Arabidopsis thaliana: one gene and its partner. The protein of the gene in region 1 interacts with the protein of each later gene in a pairwise test. Each region holds a gene or a part of one and is shown on either strand. Other genes may lie near its edges.

What was found. The genes of interacting proteins can lie anywhere in the genome.
Region 2: the proteins of AT3G16180 (region 1) and TPI interact in a protein complementation assay, tested with the Arabidopsis thaliana proteins (one large-scale study listed by BioGRID).

The regions. Positions count from the first base shown.
Region 1 is NC_003074.8:5,479,747-5,489,018, forward strand, and holds AT3G16180 (Major facilitator superfamily protein), read right to left. Parts: upstream 5,442-9,272; 5' UTR 5,198-5,441; coding exon 5,095-5,197; intron 5,009-5,094; coding exon 4,791-5,008; intron 4,785-4,790; exon of another isoform or gene 3,271-4,784; intron 3,263-3,270; coding exon 2,706-3,262; intron 2,629-2,705; coding exon 1,731-2,628; 3' UTR 1,579-1,730; downstream 1-1,578. Other genes in the region: AAE13 (AMP-dependent synthetase and ligase family protein), read left to right, coding at 1-72, 169-222, 338-382; AT3G16175 (Thioesterase superfamily protein), read left to right, coding at 751-912, 1,019-1,159, 1,292-1,462. UniProt on the Arabidopsis thaliana protein: Low-affinity nitrate transporter involved in xylem-to-phloem transfer for redistributing nitrate into developing leaves. Not involved in dipeptides transport.
Region 2 is NC_003074.8:20,549,792-20,558,693, reverse strand, and holds TPI (triosephosphate isomerase), read right to left. Parts: upstream 5,292-8,902; 5' UTR 4,901-5,291; coding exon 4,862-4,900; intron 4,535-4,861; coding exon 4,459-4,534; intron 4,169-4,458; coding exon 4,045-4,168; intron 3,701-4,044; coding exon 3,616-3,700; intron 3,522-3,615; coding exon 3,389-3,521; intron 3,211-3,388; coding exon 3,116-3,210; intron 3,006-3,115; coding exon 2,927-3,005; intron 2,841-2,926; coding exon 2,758-2,840; intron 2,667-2,757; coding exon 2,616-2,666; 3' UTR 2,134-2,615; downstream 1-2,133. Other genes in the region: PBL1 (PBS1-like 1), read right to left, coding at 1-368, 487-565; AT3G55430 (O-Glycosyl hydrolases family 17 protein), read left to right, coding at 6,690-7,151, 8,001-8,888.

The sequences.
Region 1 (9,272 bases):
GATGAGTCAAAACCTGTAATAACCTTAGAAGAACTGTGCGGTTGGGCTAAAGACAAGCTTGCTCCTTACAAGGTACTAAAAATCTGCCAAAGTGTTGTCAAAACGCGCAACAGTCTTGTCAATCTTTTTTTCTTTTTTTTTCTTGTCCATAATATTCTGTCTTTTCAGCTACCAACAAGATTGCTGATATGGGAGAGCTTGCCTCGCAACGCCATGGGAAAGGTAGCTATATTTCTCTCAAATTTTTTCTTTTTTCTTGAATGATATCAGAGATAGTTGTTTTGTTGTAACCAATAAGAATCATTCTCAGTGTATGAGTATTTTTTTCGAGTTGCAGGTGAACAAAAAAGAGCTAAAGAAATCTCTGGAAAATCAAGAATAAAGACAACCATGGATTTCATTGCTACTCCTTGTTCTTTTGATTATATGACACGTATGCATAAAATGTAATTTCCTTCTTTCCTGTATCATGTACTTTGACTCAATAATGTCAAGAATCAATACCAAATTAACTATTTGAGAAGTAAATCTTTGTTATATACTATTTCTTTGTTTAGTGTGAAGAACAACAAAATTGTATAGTGTGAAAGAAGGAAAGTTGACCATAGTCTTTGACTCTTTGATGCTAAATCAGTAATCATTCCAAAAGGGTATAATGGTAATTAACTATGATGATCCGATAACCATATATTCCCACACGCAAGTTTGTTTTGTAACGAGAACGTAAAAAGACGAAGAAGAAGGGACAGTATGGTAGATCCAACGATCCATAACACGACGACGTATCTCGAAGAGATAGCAAAAGGAAACGGGCAAACCGAGTTCGAGATTTTAATCTTGAAAGGCTTAGAACTCATCCATGTCGGGAAAGGGATCTTACGTTGTAAATTACTTGTCACAGATCATGTCGTGGTAATAAAATTTACTTAATCCAACGAATCTAGTTTTAAGCTTCCTTTTTTGTGTTTTTGATTGGTGAACGTTATTATTACTAAACAATGCGAAAGATGATTCTCAGGGAGAAGATGGAAGTTGGAATGCGGGAGTGATTACGGCGGTGATGGACTCGATCGGAGCGTCAGCTGTGTACTCCTCCGGCGGCGGACTCCATATCTCTGTTGATCTCAACTCTTCGTTTTATTCAACGGCCAAGATTCACGTTCGCTTTCCCTATCCTCATTTTTCTCTCGTTTTTTTTGTTATGAAACATGCAAACTACTAAATTAGGTAAATTACTATTATTAGTAATGATTAGAAGTAATAATGATAAGAAAAAACTACAAAATTGCAGGAAACGGTAGAGATAGAAGCAAGAGTGAATGGAAGCAATGGAGGATTAAAATCAGCTGTGATTGAGATTAGAAGAGAAACAAGTGGAGAAATTATAGCCACAGGAAGATTGTGGATGGCTCCACTTAGCGTCAAAGCCATACAAAATGTTTCTACTCTTAGTAAGCTTTGATTTTTTCTTAATTTAAGTGATTCAATTTCCCAAAGTCAAAAACACCACAAATCACCATTTTGAAAATTTGATTCTCTTCAATCAAATATCATACACACAATGTTTTTTTTTTTTTTGTAATAATTAAATAAACACACGACCCATTAATTAACATCAACCTCTACATCCTAAGAAAATCCAAATCCATGATATAATAATCTAATTACATACAAATATATAGAATTTTATAACACACGTACACCATTTAATTATGATCAACCAATTGGTCTTAGTTTAATTTAATAACTTCCTCTTCTTCTTTTCTCATACCATTAACCTTATCATTCCTCACCTGATCCACCGTAGGACCATAGGACCAGCTACACACAACGTAGTAGATGACATTAACGAAGCTCAAGATCGCTAAAACCCAATAGTAATAGTCATAGTGACCCTTGTTGATGTTATCTTCAATCCAGCTCACATTGCCCTGCTTTGAGCTATTCTTTACCGCATTTAGGATCACACTAGCCAAGATATTAGCCACTGCCATTCCTAGACCGAACAACGAAGCTGCGATACTCGACATGCTTTTAGGAAACTCGGTATAGAAAAACTCGGTCTGTCCTATCCCGGTCAAGGCCTCTGCTAAACCGTGTAGTACATACTGTGGTACAAGCCACATTGCTGAGATGCTCACTGTTGAGTTGGCATCGTTTGCGAGTCCTTGGCTTATCGCGGTTTTCCTTCTGTAATGTTCAACAGTTGCGGAAACCGCCATTGCTAAGAATGATATGAATAGCCCTAATCCCATTCGAATCTTGACATTGACTCTAACTGGTCTGCCTCGGATCTTTGAAGCTAAAGGGAGAATTGCGCGGTCGTACAGAACAACCCATGAGATTAAGGCTATGATTGTGAACATACCAAACGATCCAGCTGGGATTTGGAAGGTCGAATTGCTGCTTAAACGTCTGTCCATTGATTTAGCTTGAAGCAACTGAAAAGAGTTCTGGCTAACGTTTATCGACATCATTATCCCCGTGGACCATACCGGTATCACCTTGACCAACGCCTTGAGTTTCTCAACTTGGTCCGTTGTGCATAGCCTCCACTGGTTTAAGGCCAAACCATCAGAACCAAGGTCTTCATCGCGGTTACTTATGGCACAAGCTTTGTTTAAAAACCTAAGCAATTGCAAGAAAGTATCAATAAATAAAAAAACTAACCAAGAACTATATATGTGAAACTGATTTCACTTTACCTCAATTTGTCACTTGGAGCTTTGAGTTCAGAATCTTTCAAACGGTAATAACAATCTCTGGAGTCATGATGATCCGGCAAAGTTAAGTTTCTCTTCACGTAAGCTGCAGCAACCACTTGAGCTAAACCAGTGAACAGACTCTTGCTCACATCGCGCTTAACGTAGAGAGGAGACGCGAAAACAAACAAGAAACCCGCGAGCAGCATGAGAATCGCGGGTATTCCAAACCCGATTTTCCATCCTAGATGATCTTGAATGTAAACAATGACGGTGAAAGCGATCAAGACAGCAACTGATGAAGAAGCGTAGTACCAACCAAAGAAACTCTCAAGAACTCTCTCGTTCTTAGGATTCTCTTTGTTGTCCAATTGATCAGCACCAAAGGCTAAAGAACATGGCCTGATTCCTCCTGATCCAATCGATATTAATGCGAATGCGGTATACAAGAGAGCCAATTGAGAAGATGTCGCGGAACTGCAGTTGGTTCCGGCTGTTGCTACACACGGTGATGGTTTTACTTGCGGCAACATCGCCGTTAGCCATAGAACCACCATCCCCTGTAACATTTTTGATTCAGACAAATTTATTAAAACAATGTAGTAGGTTAGATTTTGACGTTTTTGTTTTTCATAATAAAAATGTAGTTATCACTTCATTCGTAAAATCTGTAGATGTCTTCCAAAAAAAGTACTTCCAAGAACAAGAATCCAAGTATTAGATCAGAATCTACACGTACGTCAATTGTCACATCCATCATACGAAAACATTATTTTCTTACGGAAAATGATTGATACTCGAGATGAATGATTGATGTAGAGATTTCAAAATCAATTGATGTCACTATGTATATGATAAGTTTTTTTTTCCAAGTGGGTGAAATAATAAGTTTGATCAAGAATGGGACAAGTAGTACAAAAACATGGGTCACCAATCGATATTGCTTTCATGTCTAACACTTATATGTTGGCCAAAAAACTAATGTCAAATCCTTAAATGGTGGCAAAATGTAGGTCCACGTCAGCTTGACCCATATATTTGGACATATAAATAATGAAACTCTAAGTCTACATACAACAAAAAGTAATAACAAAATGATATTTTTTATACATAGAGAGATGCAAGCAGTGTGGTCACTCACAATCACACAAGTTGCCAGAGAAAGCCCACAAGACCATAACCACAAGGAAAGCAACAAACAAGATTTTAAGGAATTAATAATGATATTAAATACTTTATGATTATTTAAGACCTGTTATTATATAAACTCACATGGACATTTCAGAACACCTGGCTTCGAATTTAATTTTACCGACTTTTATATTTTTGATGGACACAAATATTAAAAACAAATCAAAGCGGGTTTAGTTTCTCCATTCATTGGACAGCAATTTCAGGGAAGCACATGCAACATGTGAAAATTTTGACTCTTAATGGAAAAAGGCTTCTAAAAAGCTTAATCATATCAACTCTTAAATTAGAAATTTCACTGTAGATGATTATCATTAGATATTATAGTACTTAAAGCAGAAATATACAGCTATCAATGATTTAGCAAAACCAACGGTAAAAAGTTATAAAATTTTAGTAAAAACCCCTGAAATTTACCATACCAATCTTTTTTTTACTATTTCGAGAATATAAAATAATTAAATAATTACATACAAAACCTCGTACCATTTAATTCTTGGCCCTTAATTCTATGACTTGGTTAGATTTTATGGAATTCTCTTTTTGTTGTCGACGCAAGTAAAGTCAAGTCCAATTATCGAAAACTATCAAACCGGAATTTAACTCCAATTATCAATGCATGTAAGTAAGGTCCAATTGTCTAAAGCCAAGTAATAAAACACTGAATACAAGCACGATATTTCACCCAAATCAACTTAAACCGAAACTTTCGGTTTAGATTCCCAATTTTAATAAAACTCAACCTTTACTGACAGTAAACATAAACAAAGCATTTCCAAACCAAAGGCTAACTAGGTGGTGAAAAATGTTGAGTCAAAGAAGTGGCTAAAAAATTGAACCGGAGTAAACCGGGAGAAAGAAGAAGCGTAAACCGGTTAAATAGGGGACGGAAATTACCAGGAGACTGGAGAGAGAAGCAATGACAATGGTGAGAAAGCGACCCAAATATGAATCTGAGAGAAAAGCTCCAACGAGAGGCATGAAATTAGTAGCAGCAACCCACATGAACAAGACAGTTTGTCCTTTAACAAGTCCCAATCTGTAATCACTCATCAGATAAAGAATCATGTTCTGTAATAATCCATAGCTCGCCACTTTCTCGAACCCCTCGTTTGCTTCACCGAGTAACAAACAAGATGAGATAAAATTAGTAACAAGATTTGGGTTTTTGTCTAAAAAAGTGAGAGAGATCGTTTGTTACCAATGATGAAGGGCATAGTGAGAAGACCACCCTTTGTTCTTCTTCTTGTAATGGGTTGTTGAAGAGTCTCCTTTGACTCTGTTTGATCCGGAGGGTTCTCCATTGTTGTTACCTTTCAAGCTTCGAGAGAGGGGAAGAGAGAAAAGTGAAAAAGAGAAGAGAAGGAGGAGAAGATCTTTGTCTTTGTGAGAGTTTTGAGTTAATGCGATCTTATTTTTCAGTTCAGACAGCGAGGAATCTCTGTTTTCTGCGACGAGTGAGCAATAATAAATGGCTGTTATTTAAATACTACATTTTCTTTTTCCCTCAAGGCAAATTGTTTTTTAATTTTTTAATTTTATTAATTAATTTATCATAATGATTTTTATAGAGTGAGGTTTTATCCTATATGGCACACGACAATTTTCATTCTTAGTTAGAACTTAGAAATGATTTGTTAGTAGTATGAAAGAAAAAAAGTTAGATAAAACGTCATTTTCCTAATCTTAGCTAAATACAAGTTGAAACATAAATGCCAGAAATATTCGTTTTTTTGTGAAGAAAATATCTAAAATGGAGAAGATTAACTTACATAGATATTTCAAAAAGAAGAGAAAAGAAAAAAACAGTACATTGTACATCAAACTTCCAATGTTCCATCATCCATGTTACTTACGTCAAACATAAAATGGTCTGGTGTTATTGACTTATTTTTGAAATAAATCCAATTTATTATTATTTATGTACATTTCAAATTAGTTAAATATGTTAATGTTATATACTTCGAAACCATAACTATTCTATAGATTTTTTGATGAAATAGTTGTTGGAAGTGAATTTGCAATGTAGAAGAATCAATCACAAGAATTTCAATATTGTATTATCTTCTAAAGATGTCTTCTAATCAGACTTAAACTCTTAAAAAGTTTATGAGAGCTTCAACTATATCATTATACTGTAACTAAACATGTAAATGGCTTTCCACAAATCACATCCAATTATCGAAAGGAACGGATCAAAAATCATAACAAAAGTTTACTAATAATTGAGAATGGAAAACATCCCATGAGGTTAACAGCTTTTGTTTTGGCTCTCTCTCTTCCTCTTTTCTTGACAAATTGAAACTTTTTGTTATTCAATTCTTTTTTTTCAGTTTAAAGTTAAAAAATGGATTCATTAAAGTAAGTGCAATCATATATAAAGTTTTTTTTAATTCGCTTTCTCCTTATCACACTAATAAGTCAACATCTCAAAGAGTCGGCCCAAAGAATATAATAAAATAATAGCATACGAAAGTTTACCAAACCCATGTAACAATTGACCTCATGAATAATAGTTTATGTTTTAACAAAAATATGAATAATAGTATATGTTTAACTGTATAATTTTCTATGTATCTAAGAAGTTTCGGACTTTACGATGTATAGTAACTTCGACCAAGAGATTAAATTAGTAGTTTTCCCTGCTAATGTCGACTTTAAGACGAACCCCATCTTATAAAGTTACTCGTATCTAATCGGTTAAACTATCCATTCCAAATTAACAATTATATTTTCTTATGTGACTTAATCCAAATAATGAATGCAAAGAAAACTAACATTCATTATTCACAAAACATTATATATTGCTAAACAATATCATACTGTTAGATTCTGAGGATATAAACTACTGTATCAAAATACTTATCACTAATTTGTGATTCTATATCCTACAGGCTATATATCATTATACGCTAAGTAATTACGTTTCCAAGTTAAATGATACAAGTATTTGAAAGTTTCTGCCTAAACCAGATTATAAGTAAAGTACTTATGTTCAGTACAAAATTAAAAATGGTGCAACCAGATTTGAATGAAAAAGTTCGTACAAAATTAAGTGCGGTGTCTGATGATGGCAGAAGACTCGCTAGTAGGAACCAAAAATGAAATTTCATTATCCAAAAATTTATTTGTGGTCTTTCATGCATCCACATGAACAGTTTCAATACCAAATACCTAATTTAGTTTTTAAAAAAAATCGTAATTAATCAATACATCAAGAATTCAACATTAGATTATCCTGCTATTAAAAAAATCTCTTAAAATAATTTCTTAGAACATTAGAATAATTTAAAAACAAAAAGTGAATAAAAAGCCATAATGATGAGAGTGACATGGTCATTTGCCTTGCACGTGGGTGTTTGGATACTCTGCAATCTCCTTTTTGACAAACTTGTTAATCCACACTACTCATTATGTCATTTCATTTTTAATTTGTGATCATCATAACTACTTAGCCTCGTCGTAACAACTTAACCCAAGAAAATCAGAGTTAGATCCAAATAAAAGTGATGGGACACTTTAAAGAAACGAAACAAAAAAAAAAACACTGTGGATAAAGCAAAAAGCAAATGGTAACATAAATTGTTTTTACTATATACATTTCGGCGTTTGTGAAATAATACAGTCGAAAGAAATGGTCTCTAGGTTAACACTATGCATAGAATTTGGTGAGAAACATTACAGAATATATTTCATTTAAATTCGGTGTTCGATAATGTTGTGAAAGAGTGAATGTAGATTGTGGACGAAGATAATTCTGGGACACTTCCAAAAGAAGAAGACTGTAGAAAATGAATTGTCTCTGAAACATTATTATTCAAAGATTGCTTGACTTACACGCCACCTCCTCATTTTTCCTCCATTTCTTACTTCAAGAAGGAAAGGTCTATTGAGGTATGTGTCAGGTTTCAGACTTATTTTTTCTTCTCAAATTCAAAAAAAATATATTATTTTGTCAGACTCATTTTTCTCACCTACTCTACTTTCTTATTCAATGTTCTCTCTATTTTTTTTTAGCTCTGTTCCAGTCCCTTCTCCATTTACACACAAGCTAATTACCTTGTCTTCTTCTTGTTGTAATTTATTAAAAATTTAGAAGGTGGGTATTTTGTTACTTTGCTATTGAATTGGTTGTTATGGAAATTGTTGGATATTAAGGTCCAGTCTGTAAATTGGAGAATTTTAATGTCGAAACTATTTGAGTTATTTTCGCATACTGTAGTTACAAGTATCACGTTTTAATAACTCACTGACCATCAATCCATAATGTCATTTAACACAAAAAGCTGCGAGGTATAAGCTATATACGAAAATTGGTTAAATTAATAACTTGATAAAAGAAAAAAAGAAGAAAAAGTATATCCTAGTAATCAAGTGAATTTACGAGAGACTGATAATAAGTACTCCTAAAAATTATTACTGTAATATTATTGTATTACCTCTGTTTTCAAATCATTAGATGCTTTAGTTATATCATCACACGTATATAAAATAAAAAAAGATATCTGTATTTACAAATCTACTATTTTTATATAAATTTGTATTCAATAAAGTAATACCTACACCTAAAAAGTATAAAACATATATTTTTTGTTGATAAATGAACATCTAAAAAAGTGTTATATTTAGGAAGATAGTTTAGTGAATTTCCATCTAGTATATTACTAGATACCAAAATTTGAGACGATGTGCTAAAAATATGTTTGTTTGCGTATGATTTTTACATAGATACGACATAACCTTGACTCCTGCTTTAACCAAAATTTGTTTAAGAAAAAAAAACAATGAAGCCAGCGAGGCGTATTATTTCAGTTACAAAGAGGAAAATTCATGAACTTGCCGTTTATCTATCTAAAAATTCATGAACTTGCCTTTGATATTTCAACTCTCTATTGTCCCCTTTCTTTTCATAAGTCAAATCAATCTATTATCATAAATCTAAAAAATTCTTGTCACATTTTTCTGCACCTTCTATTTTAACCTCGGAATCAATAATCGCAAAATCAAACGTTAAATCATCATATAGCTAGAAACAATATATAGTTTTTTTATAAGAAATACGATTTAATTGGTCATATATTTTGATTTATCAAACTGTTTTGGTGAAAATACATTGCCAACACACACACTCACAAATATTTTAAAACCTGATCAATATAGGTATTTATATTTTTAACAACAAATACACAAGTCAACTTATGAAAAAAAAAAAAAAAAAATGGTAGTAGTAGACTTCCATTTTATCAACTTGAGAAAGTTGGAAATTGAAAGAGAGGTGCTTGTCTTGTAAAGTCCCCCCATTGTTGTAAGGGTTACACAAAGGAATGTCCCTCGTAATCATGAAATGAGCTGTGTTACATCACTCTCTAGATTTTCTCT
Region 2 (8,902 bases), about 15 Mb from region 1:
CCATTCTCGGTGACCTTGAAAACCATCAGGGTTAAGTCGTTTAACAGCAATAACAAGACCAGAGCTAGATTTGGTAGGAGTAAGAGTAGTCTCATCAAGCCAACCTCTAAAGACACAACCAAAGCCACCTTCTCCAACAACAGAGTCCGATCTGAAGTTTCTAGTAGCGAGTTTAAGTTCATTAAAGCTAAAGCTTTTGACGGTCGTTGAGCTAAGGATTTCTCCTTCTGTCTTATGAGCTGTAGCTGATGATGAAGATTTACAGCTCGAGAGATGAAGATCATCGAGACCACTACTGCTCTTATCTGCACAACACACAAAAGCGTTGACCACAGTCAAAATTGAGAGAACGCCAAAAAAGGGGAAAACTTTATTCAGTTAGATCACAGGAAGAAGATTCTTGCAAATTTCATTCCTTTTCTTAAAAGCCATTATCGATTAACCAAAAAGATCACGGATTTGAAGAGATACACATGTGTGAATCACAAAAAAAAAAAAAAAAAAATGGGAGATGGAGAATTGTAGAGAACGTACTAAGGACACGAGAACTGAGACAAGAACCCATTTAGTAGAATGATGAAGAAGATCGTTTTTTTTTTTTGCACTTTTCTCTGACAATGAATTTCTTCTTATGCTGTTTTTGGGTGGAGCAGATTCTATCAGATAAAACTCATTAAAGCGAAATAATAAAGAGAAAAAAAAAAGAGAAAGAGAAAAAGTAAACACTGAAGAAGAGAGAGGATGAGAGAAGAGAAAGAGAAGATGTGTGTTGATGAGATGGTAGAGGCAACCGAAGGAAGAAGAAAGGTCTTTTTCTTGTCCAAACAAAAAAAAAACGAATTCAGACAAAAGTTATATTTTTGACCAAAAGATAATAAACGAGTTCTAAATAAAATTAGTAATAACAATTTAATGATCAGTGGGACTTTTCTATTGTATGATTTTTAAAACTTTTGAAATTCATAGATTGATTTTGATGATCTTAAGCATCTGAGTAAACGTGCAAAAAGATCACTAATGATATATGTTTAAGATTCAAAATAACGTTTTTAATAGATATGACATCTGAGTCAGATGGTCATGAGATTTTGGAATCTTTAATAGGCCTGAAATAAATTCGCCGTGGTGGGGTTGGATACAAAAAGAAAGAAAAAAAAGGACAAATTTTGTCGAAAATGATAGATATTCATGTGATCATAGATATTTTCGATTTATATGCTTTGGGTGTGGAATGATGAAACAGATTCGGGTTTAGTAATAGTGGTCTCAAAAATGTTTATAAAAGTAGGTAAGAAAATATAAGATTTGTAAGAACTAAGAAAAATATCTACTTAACCAGGAATTAAATTAAAGTTTACAAGTAGGTAAGAAAAATAAGATTTTTCAGGAAAAAATTATGCTTGACTACATACGTATAATGTAATTAAATTTAGTATCATGGGATGGGACATAAGTTTTATAAATACAAGTTTTTAAAACAGAGAAATTTTTTACCAAAACTTGTTTTGAGTCATACGGACCCAAAATTACTCTATTGCTGAAATGATCGATGACTTAGTCAAACCTCCATTTCTAAGGTCACAATTGTTTGCTCGTTACGCAAATAAGTCCAAGGTCAACTATATAATATAATACTCATAAAAATTCAATCCCTACTTTCTTAAATATTACTCAGAAATAAATAAAATATAAGTCACCAGAAATGTGGGTTGACTTGGGAGATAATACGTTATCACATTTGTAGCTGAGTCACATATTGTGGAGTTTTTATTGGCACTAGTTGGATTTTCGTGGTCGGATCAAAATCCATACACATTTTCATCATACTGAGTCCAATTTTTTAATAAATGGTTTGAACAATTCTGACATACGGGAGCTCTTATTTTGGACTTAACCGTCTCTTTTACATTATCACTTTAGTTCCACTGAGCCGTTTTACTCAAATTACATAAGCATTTTGTTTTCTACAAACATTGACATTCCTAATACAATGAGTTTCTCCATGAAATTTCTTTTCCTTTTTTACTCTCTACATAATAATTTCGTAATGTTGGACATTTTTCAAGATGATGACAATAAAGTTGAAAATAATAATGTTCTAAAAGCTAAAATGTCAAAAATGACAGACCAATAGGCAAAAAGCGATAAAAGGGAAAAAATAAAGTCATTTCCCACTTCTCCTGTATTCTCTCGTCATTTATTTAACAAGTAAAGCCATTTTCAAAGTGGTTGACAGCATGATTCAGAGATCAAGCATGACAAAATACCAAAGTCTAAAATGGAACAAACAACATATTATATAACACACAGGTTTATGATCGGACGACATTAGAAATAGGGGTTTGATCAAAAGGCCCGAGGGGTTATGAACTCCAAACACAGATTCTCTGAAGAGTTGAGAAGACTGTAAAAGGAAGGGATTTGCAAATTGCAAGTCCACAGCTAAATAAATGGCGAAGAAAATGATTGTTGCGTTCTCAAAACAATATAGTAAGAGAGAAACTTTTGCCAAATACAACTGAAGCAAAATGTATCATATCATAATACCAACTTATTCATTTTTTCAGAGTTGCGACTGGAAAAGCAAAGGACTTTTAAATTGCTTAATGAGCTCATTAGGCACTTTTCTTCACCTCTGCGGCCTTAATGATGTCGATAAACTCAGGCTGCAAAAAGACCAAGAATGAAAACATTAGTCATGGTTTTGAAAGAGACAAACGAAAGATATCATTACAAGAGAAACCATATTATATGTACCTTTAGAGAAGCACCACCGACCAAGAAACCATCAACATCGGCCTGTCCACCTAGCTCCTTGCAGTTACCACCATTGACGGATCCTGATAATAATTTGCATAATCAAGCTAAGTAACATAGAAAACTATATAGGGGTGTTTAATTAAAGATCGTGTTATCATCTATCTACCTCCATAAATGATGCGGGTTGTAGCAGCGACATCAGCACTCACGTTCTTGGCCAGCCATTTCCTCAGCTCATCGTGTACCTGTTCATAAACGAAACAAGCTCTCGTAAGGAAAACAGCATTGGTTTTCCTATTAAATCATGACCATATGCAACACGTTACAGTGCAACTGCGCATCGAGAACCACTTACTTCTTGAGCTTGGGCTGGGCTAGCGACCTTTCCGGTTCCAATGGCCCACACTGGTTCATAGGCTATGACAACATTTGACCAGTTTGTCACCCGATCTGCCATTACCAACAAAAAGAGTTTTTTAGCCAACAAATATTTCTGTGGGGTTTGAATCACACACTAAGGGAGTATAGTGCGTAGAAACGGGCATCACTATCATCAAAACAGGTCTCACTGTAAACGAGAACGAACTGAGATAGCAAAAAGAGATTAAATGTTTGACAATATACATACCGGCAATAGCCTTGGTCTGGGCAGCCACAACATCCATGGTCGATCCAGCTTCCCGCTCCTCAAGAGTCTCACCAACACAAGCAATCACTTTCAAACCTTGAGCAAGTGCATAGGCAACCTTGTCTCCGACGAACTACAAATGTAGGATAGAGGTCAAAAACCAAAATCATGAATTTAAAAGCTATTTGAGTCTCCAGAAAATTATTTTATCATGTAAAGTCACCAACCTCGCTTGATTCATTAAGGATTGCCCTCCTTTCAGAGTGACCAAGGATAACCCATGGAATATCCAAGTTCACAAGCATCTCCGCACTAAAACACACAAATTACACAATGCATAAGAGCAGGAAATACAGGCACCACAGAATATATCTTTTCTTCCTATGAAAGCATTCCATAGACAGGTAAATCATATTACACCTACTTGTCTAACCAGGCACGAATCCAATCATGGTCTTACTACCAACTACTAGTTGTTTTCTTAATCACTTAGGTTACACAATTCTTATAGGAAAGAAGATAAAGAAGAAGAACAGATGGAAAAATCGATTCGTTTATAAACACAATCATATTCATTTTCAAAACCATAAATATTTACTGCATGAAGCAATAATGGTAAAACAGCTTAAAGTATACACCAATGGTTAGAATCTCACCTCACTTCACCAGTGAAAGCACCTCCTTTCTTAACCCAACAGTTTTGTGCCGCAACAAAAAAGTCAGACCTCAATGTGCTCTTAACCAGGGGAAGAAAAACATATGGAGGGCTAACCACAACCTCTGCATTTAGTAAAATTTCATCAAATTATTAATACAAGAACAAACATACTTATAACTATCAACAAAGATAGAACCATAACAAGTATATGATAAAGAACATTTTAACTAACAACAAACACTAGATCTATCCATGGTTCCTAAGAAGCATAAACACTATAGAACATCGATGTACATTGAAACAGGTTTGTAATTGTATGCCCAAAATATTTGTCACTACTTAAGATTTCATAGACATGGAAATTAAAAAAAAAGCCATAATGTCGTCAAAGCAATTGAGATGCTACACATACCTACAACATCCTGTGAAGGAACCTGAGCTTCATTAAGAGTGTTCACAATCTTCTTCACCTCCTCAGCAGTTCCGTTCTATATAAGATTACAAATTCAAATATTAACATGTTAAAATAGTTTAACCAACAAAATTAACACACGGATCCACCAAAGCTAGAACACGAGATATCAATTGAAGAAAAATTCCTACTCAAAATTTTGACAAAAAAAAACAACTAAGATCCGGCATAGAATCGACAAATCTGAACCATATGCATTACAATTCAAATTCCACCGCTACAAATAATGAAAAAAACCTTAGATCTTAAGATCGGGATTTTCCGATCTCTTTGACTTGATCGGGGAAGGATCAAGTGACAAGACTAATAATAAGGTGCGCAATAGAAGGTAAAGATCACTTACACATTTCCAGTTGCCTCCGACGAAGAACTTTCTGGCCATTATCTCAAATTTTTTTCAGGCGATGATCACGAGAGTCACAGATACGACGACGATGGAGAGAGCTGAAAAGATTAGATCGATAGTGTTCAGTGGCCGTTGTCTCTCGCAGGGGTCACTCATATATATATAAATAAAAATATACTCTCAACATTTTAGATTGGAAAAGACGCATATGTCTAGGGTATATGAGAATATTCCCTGAACGATTAGGAAAGTTGAGGATATTAAAGTAAATTAGGAGGGAGGATGAAATATTATGGACGTGTTGGCCAAGGTTTGGTCGGTGTACCGGGTGGGGTGAATAATAAGAATAGACAACGGCGTGGATAGTGATGCTGTTGTATGGGCTTTAGGCCCATTAAAGCAAGCACATCAATAAAACCCAAGTTTGGTTAAAGGAAAGCCTATTGAGATGATTCTGAAACCAAATTATATTTGTATTCCCTTAAAGATAAATTCTGTATTACGCAATTCTTTCTTTTTTTTTCTTTTTTTTTTTTGGTAAAAGTTTAAATCGTATTATGCAATTCTATATTGTAATGCCCCTTCTTGGATACAAATAGTGTGGAGAAGGAGAAAACTGTTGTAAGTTCTCAAGTTAAACTACTAAACCACCATGAGAGCATTGAGCCGGCTCACTTCAAACATTGTGGCATACTTCAACAAACATATTGTTAGTCTAAAGGGCTATCGAGTGGCATCGATTATTTTATGTGATATCATTAAAAAGTAACAATGGTAATTTGTTATTGCAAAAAATAAGGATGGGATTTAATTAAAAAAATACAAAATTACGTGGTTTGTGTGTGTGTGCAATGAGTGTAACCATGTCATTGAAAATGACAATAAACTGTTAACAATGAGACATGGACGCGGATCTTCTTTTCCCAAAGAAAGCATAACAAATGGCTAAAGCGTGTCGGTAAAAGTTACTTCGAATCAGCTTCCTCAACAACATCTTCATACTTCGAATCTCTTTGACTTTGGTCCGTAGTGTTCAAACTCCAAACTATTCCTCCTACAAACACGTGTCCAATGGGCCAATGGCATTATCCCAAACCGCGTCGATCTCTCTTCTTTTTCTTTTCACTTAATATTTAACCATATACATTTCGTTGATACATCAATATTACTAATCGATTTTTTTTTTAGTTTTAAGTTTAGCAGTAAAAACTCAGATAGTCTCCTTTGACCTCATTAAGAACATCTTTTAATAAACGTATCCAAGAAAAAACAACACTCGATCTCTCTTTTGTTTTCTTAACTTCACTTTAGTTCCTTTTTTTCAAATATAGTTCATCCGTATCTGGATAAAATTAGGATTGTAAAATTACGATTAACAAGAAAGAGGTATATTTTTAGATTAAACTTGGATAGTATGAGTATTTACCAGCCAAAAACCATTAAAGAAAAAGATGACAAATTGATTATCCAAACAAAAGCAGACTCTATAATTAGCCAAATTAATTAACTAAAGTTTCCACGGTCACAACAAAATCCACTTTTTCAATAATTTACAACGGCCTAAATTTAAGCCGACGCACATGAAAAACAAAGACAACACAAACTTCTTCTTTTATTTTGCTTTCCACAAAATCCAGCTGTTCCTCACTAAAAATATACACACGTATACGCTATACAAAACGGTCATATCTATTAATTTTTATTATAAATACTTTCTCGATAAGAATAAAAAAATCTATTCGTCGTAATAATAAAAACACAACTCAAACGATTCACGGGTTTCACTTGGAATCGTTTGGTTTTCTCATTTCCGAAATATAAAAAGATGGCCAAAGCGCCACCGTCAATCTCTCTTCTCCTCCTCCTCTGCGCCGCCGTATTCCTCACCATCCCCGCCGTGATCTCCGCCATCGGTGTTAACTACGGAACTCTCGGAAACCTCCCACCACCGACTCAGGTGGCTAACTTTATCAAGACACAAACTTCGATTGATAGCGTCAAGATCTTCGATGTGAATCCCGATATCCTACGTGCCTTCGCTGGAACTGGTATCTCCGTCGTTGTCACCGTTCCTAACGGTGATATTCCGGCGTTGGCTAACGGAAGACAAGCTCGTCGGTGGGTTTCGGTTAACATTTTGCCGTTTCATCCTCAGACGAAGATTAAGTATATCTCAGTCGGAAATGAGATTCTGCTCACCGGAGATAATAACATGATCAATAATCTCTTACCGGCGATGAGGAATCTTAACAACGCTTTGGTTCGTGCTGGTGTCAGAGATGTTAAGGTCAGCTTTCTCTCTATTTTTCAGATTTTTCTATTTTAAGGAATAAGTAGAATATTTGTTTGGTTTTGGTAAATAAAATTAAAGTTAAGTTTGATGTTCATTATTGTATAAATTTCAGATAAAAAATTTTGAAATCTCAACTTTGAATTTGATATTTGCTAGTGGGAAAGTTTTTTTTTTTTTTGTTTACTTAACTTTTTTACCTAGTTTTAATTTTCTTTAACTAAAAGAAATTGTAATTATTAATAGTGAATTGATGATTGGCGTGAAAAATGCACTGTTTTTTTTTCTTTCCCTTTTTTATATCAGAGATAATGCATTGATTGCGCATATGTATAAAGTTGAAAAACAACGTTGAAAAAAATATGCAAAACAAAAATTGATTATTTTGAAAAATTAGATTCAATCTCTATTTTTTCGTCTGTTATCTAACTTGAAATCCAAAATTTCACGCAAACGTAGAATGTTGCGTTTGCTTCTTTCTTTTTTTCATCCAACTTGTATATTGTTAGTTTCTTAAAAAGAGGAAAAAAATAAATTCCCAAAGCAAAATTCAAAGATTTGAAACTTGAAAATGTTAGCGATTGGATTAAGATCTGACCATTTAGACTATCCCACGTGCTTATCTCATCACCGTCCAAGGTTATCCTATTGTCCTTAGATTCGTTCATCTGTCTGCCATGCCTTATGTTTCCTTTATTACATCATGATATATGTGATCCTAGGTAAATGAGATAATGTACCAATTTCATAGGAAATTTAGACCAACATGATTATCATATGAAAATTGTTGGAGATTGGTAGGTAACAATTGATTCTAATACTACTATTTGTTGCAATTGATCTCAGGTTACAACCGCACACTCACTTAACATCATAGCCTATGACCTGACCGGTGCACCAAGCAGCGGTAGATTCAGGCCGGGTTGGGACAAAGGCATATTGGCTCCAATCCTAGCTTACCATCGCCGAACCAAGTCACCTTTCATGGTTAACCCGTACCCTTACTTTGGTTTTGACCCCAAAAACGTCAACTTCGCAATTTTCCGAACACCGTACAAGGCAGTCCGTGACCCGTTCACCCGCCACGTCTACACCAACATGTTTGATGCACTCATGGACTCGACATACTCAGCCATGAAAGCTCTTGGATACGGTGATGTTAACATTGTCGTTGGCGAGACTGGCTGGCCATCTGCTTGTGACGCACCTTGGTGCTCGCCTGCGAATGCTGCTTGGTTCAACCTCAACATTATCAAACGTGCACAAGGCCAAGGGACACCTCTCATGCCTAACAGACGGTTCGAGACATACATTTTCGGTCTCTTCAACGAAGAAGGCAAACCCGGTCCGACCGCAGAGCGTAACTGGGGACTTTTCCGAGCAGATTTCTCCCCGGTTTACGATGTTGGTCTTCTCCGAAACGGACAAGGCGGTGGAGGCCGCCCAGCATTGCCCGCACCTAGTACTGCCGGCGGTAAATGGTGTGTAGCGAGGTCCGGGGCGACGAATACTCAGCTGCAAGACAGTATTAATTGGGTGTGTGGTCAGGGTGTTGACTGTAAACCGATCCAAGCTGGTGGTTCGTGCTTTAACCCGAGCAGTTTGAGGACGCACGCATCTTTTGTTATGAATGCTTATTTCCAGAGCCACGGCCGCACTGATGGTGCTTGTAACTTCAGTGGAACTGGTATGATCGTAGGGAACAACCCAAGCAATGGTGCATGTAAGTACTAAGGAGATTGTCTATG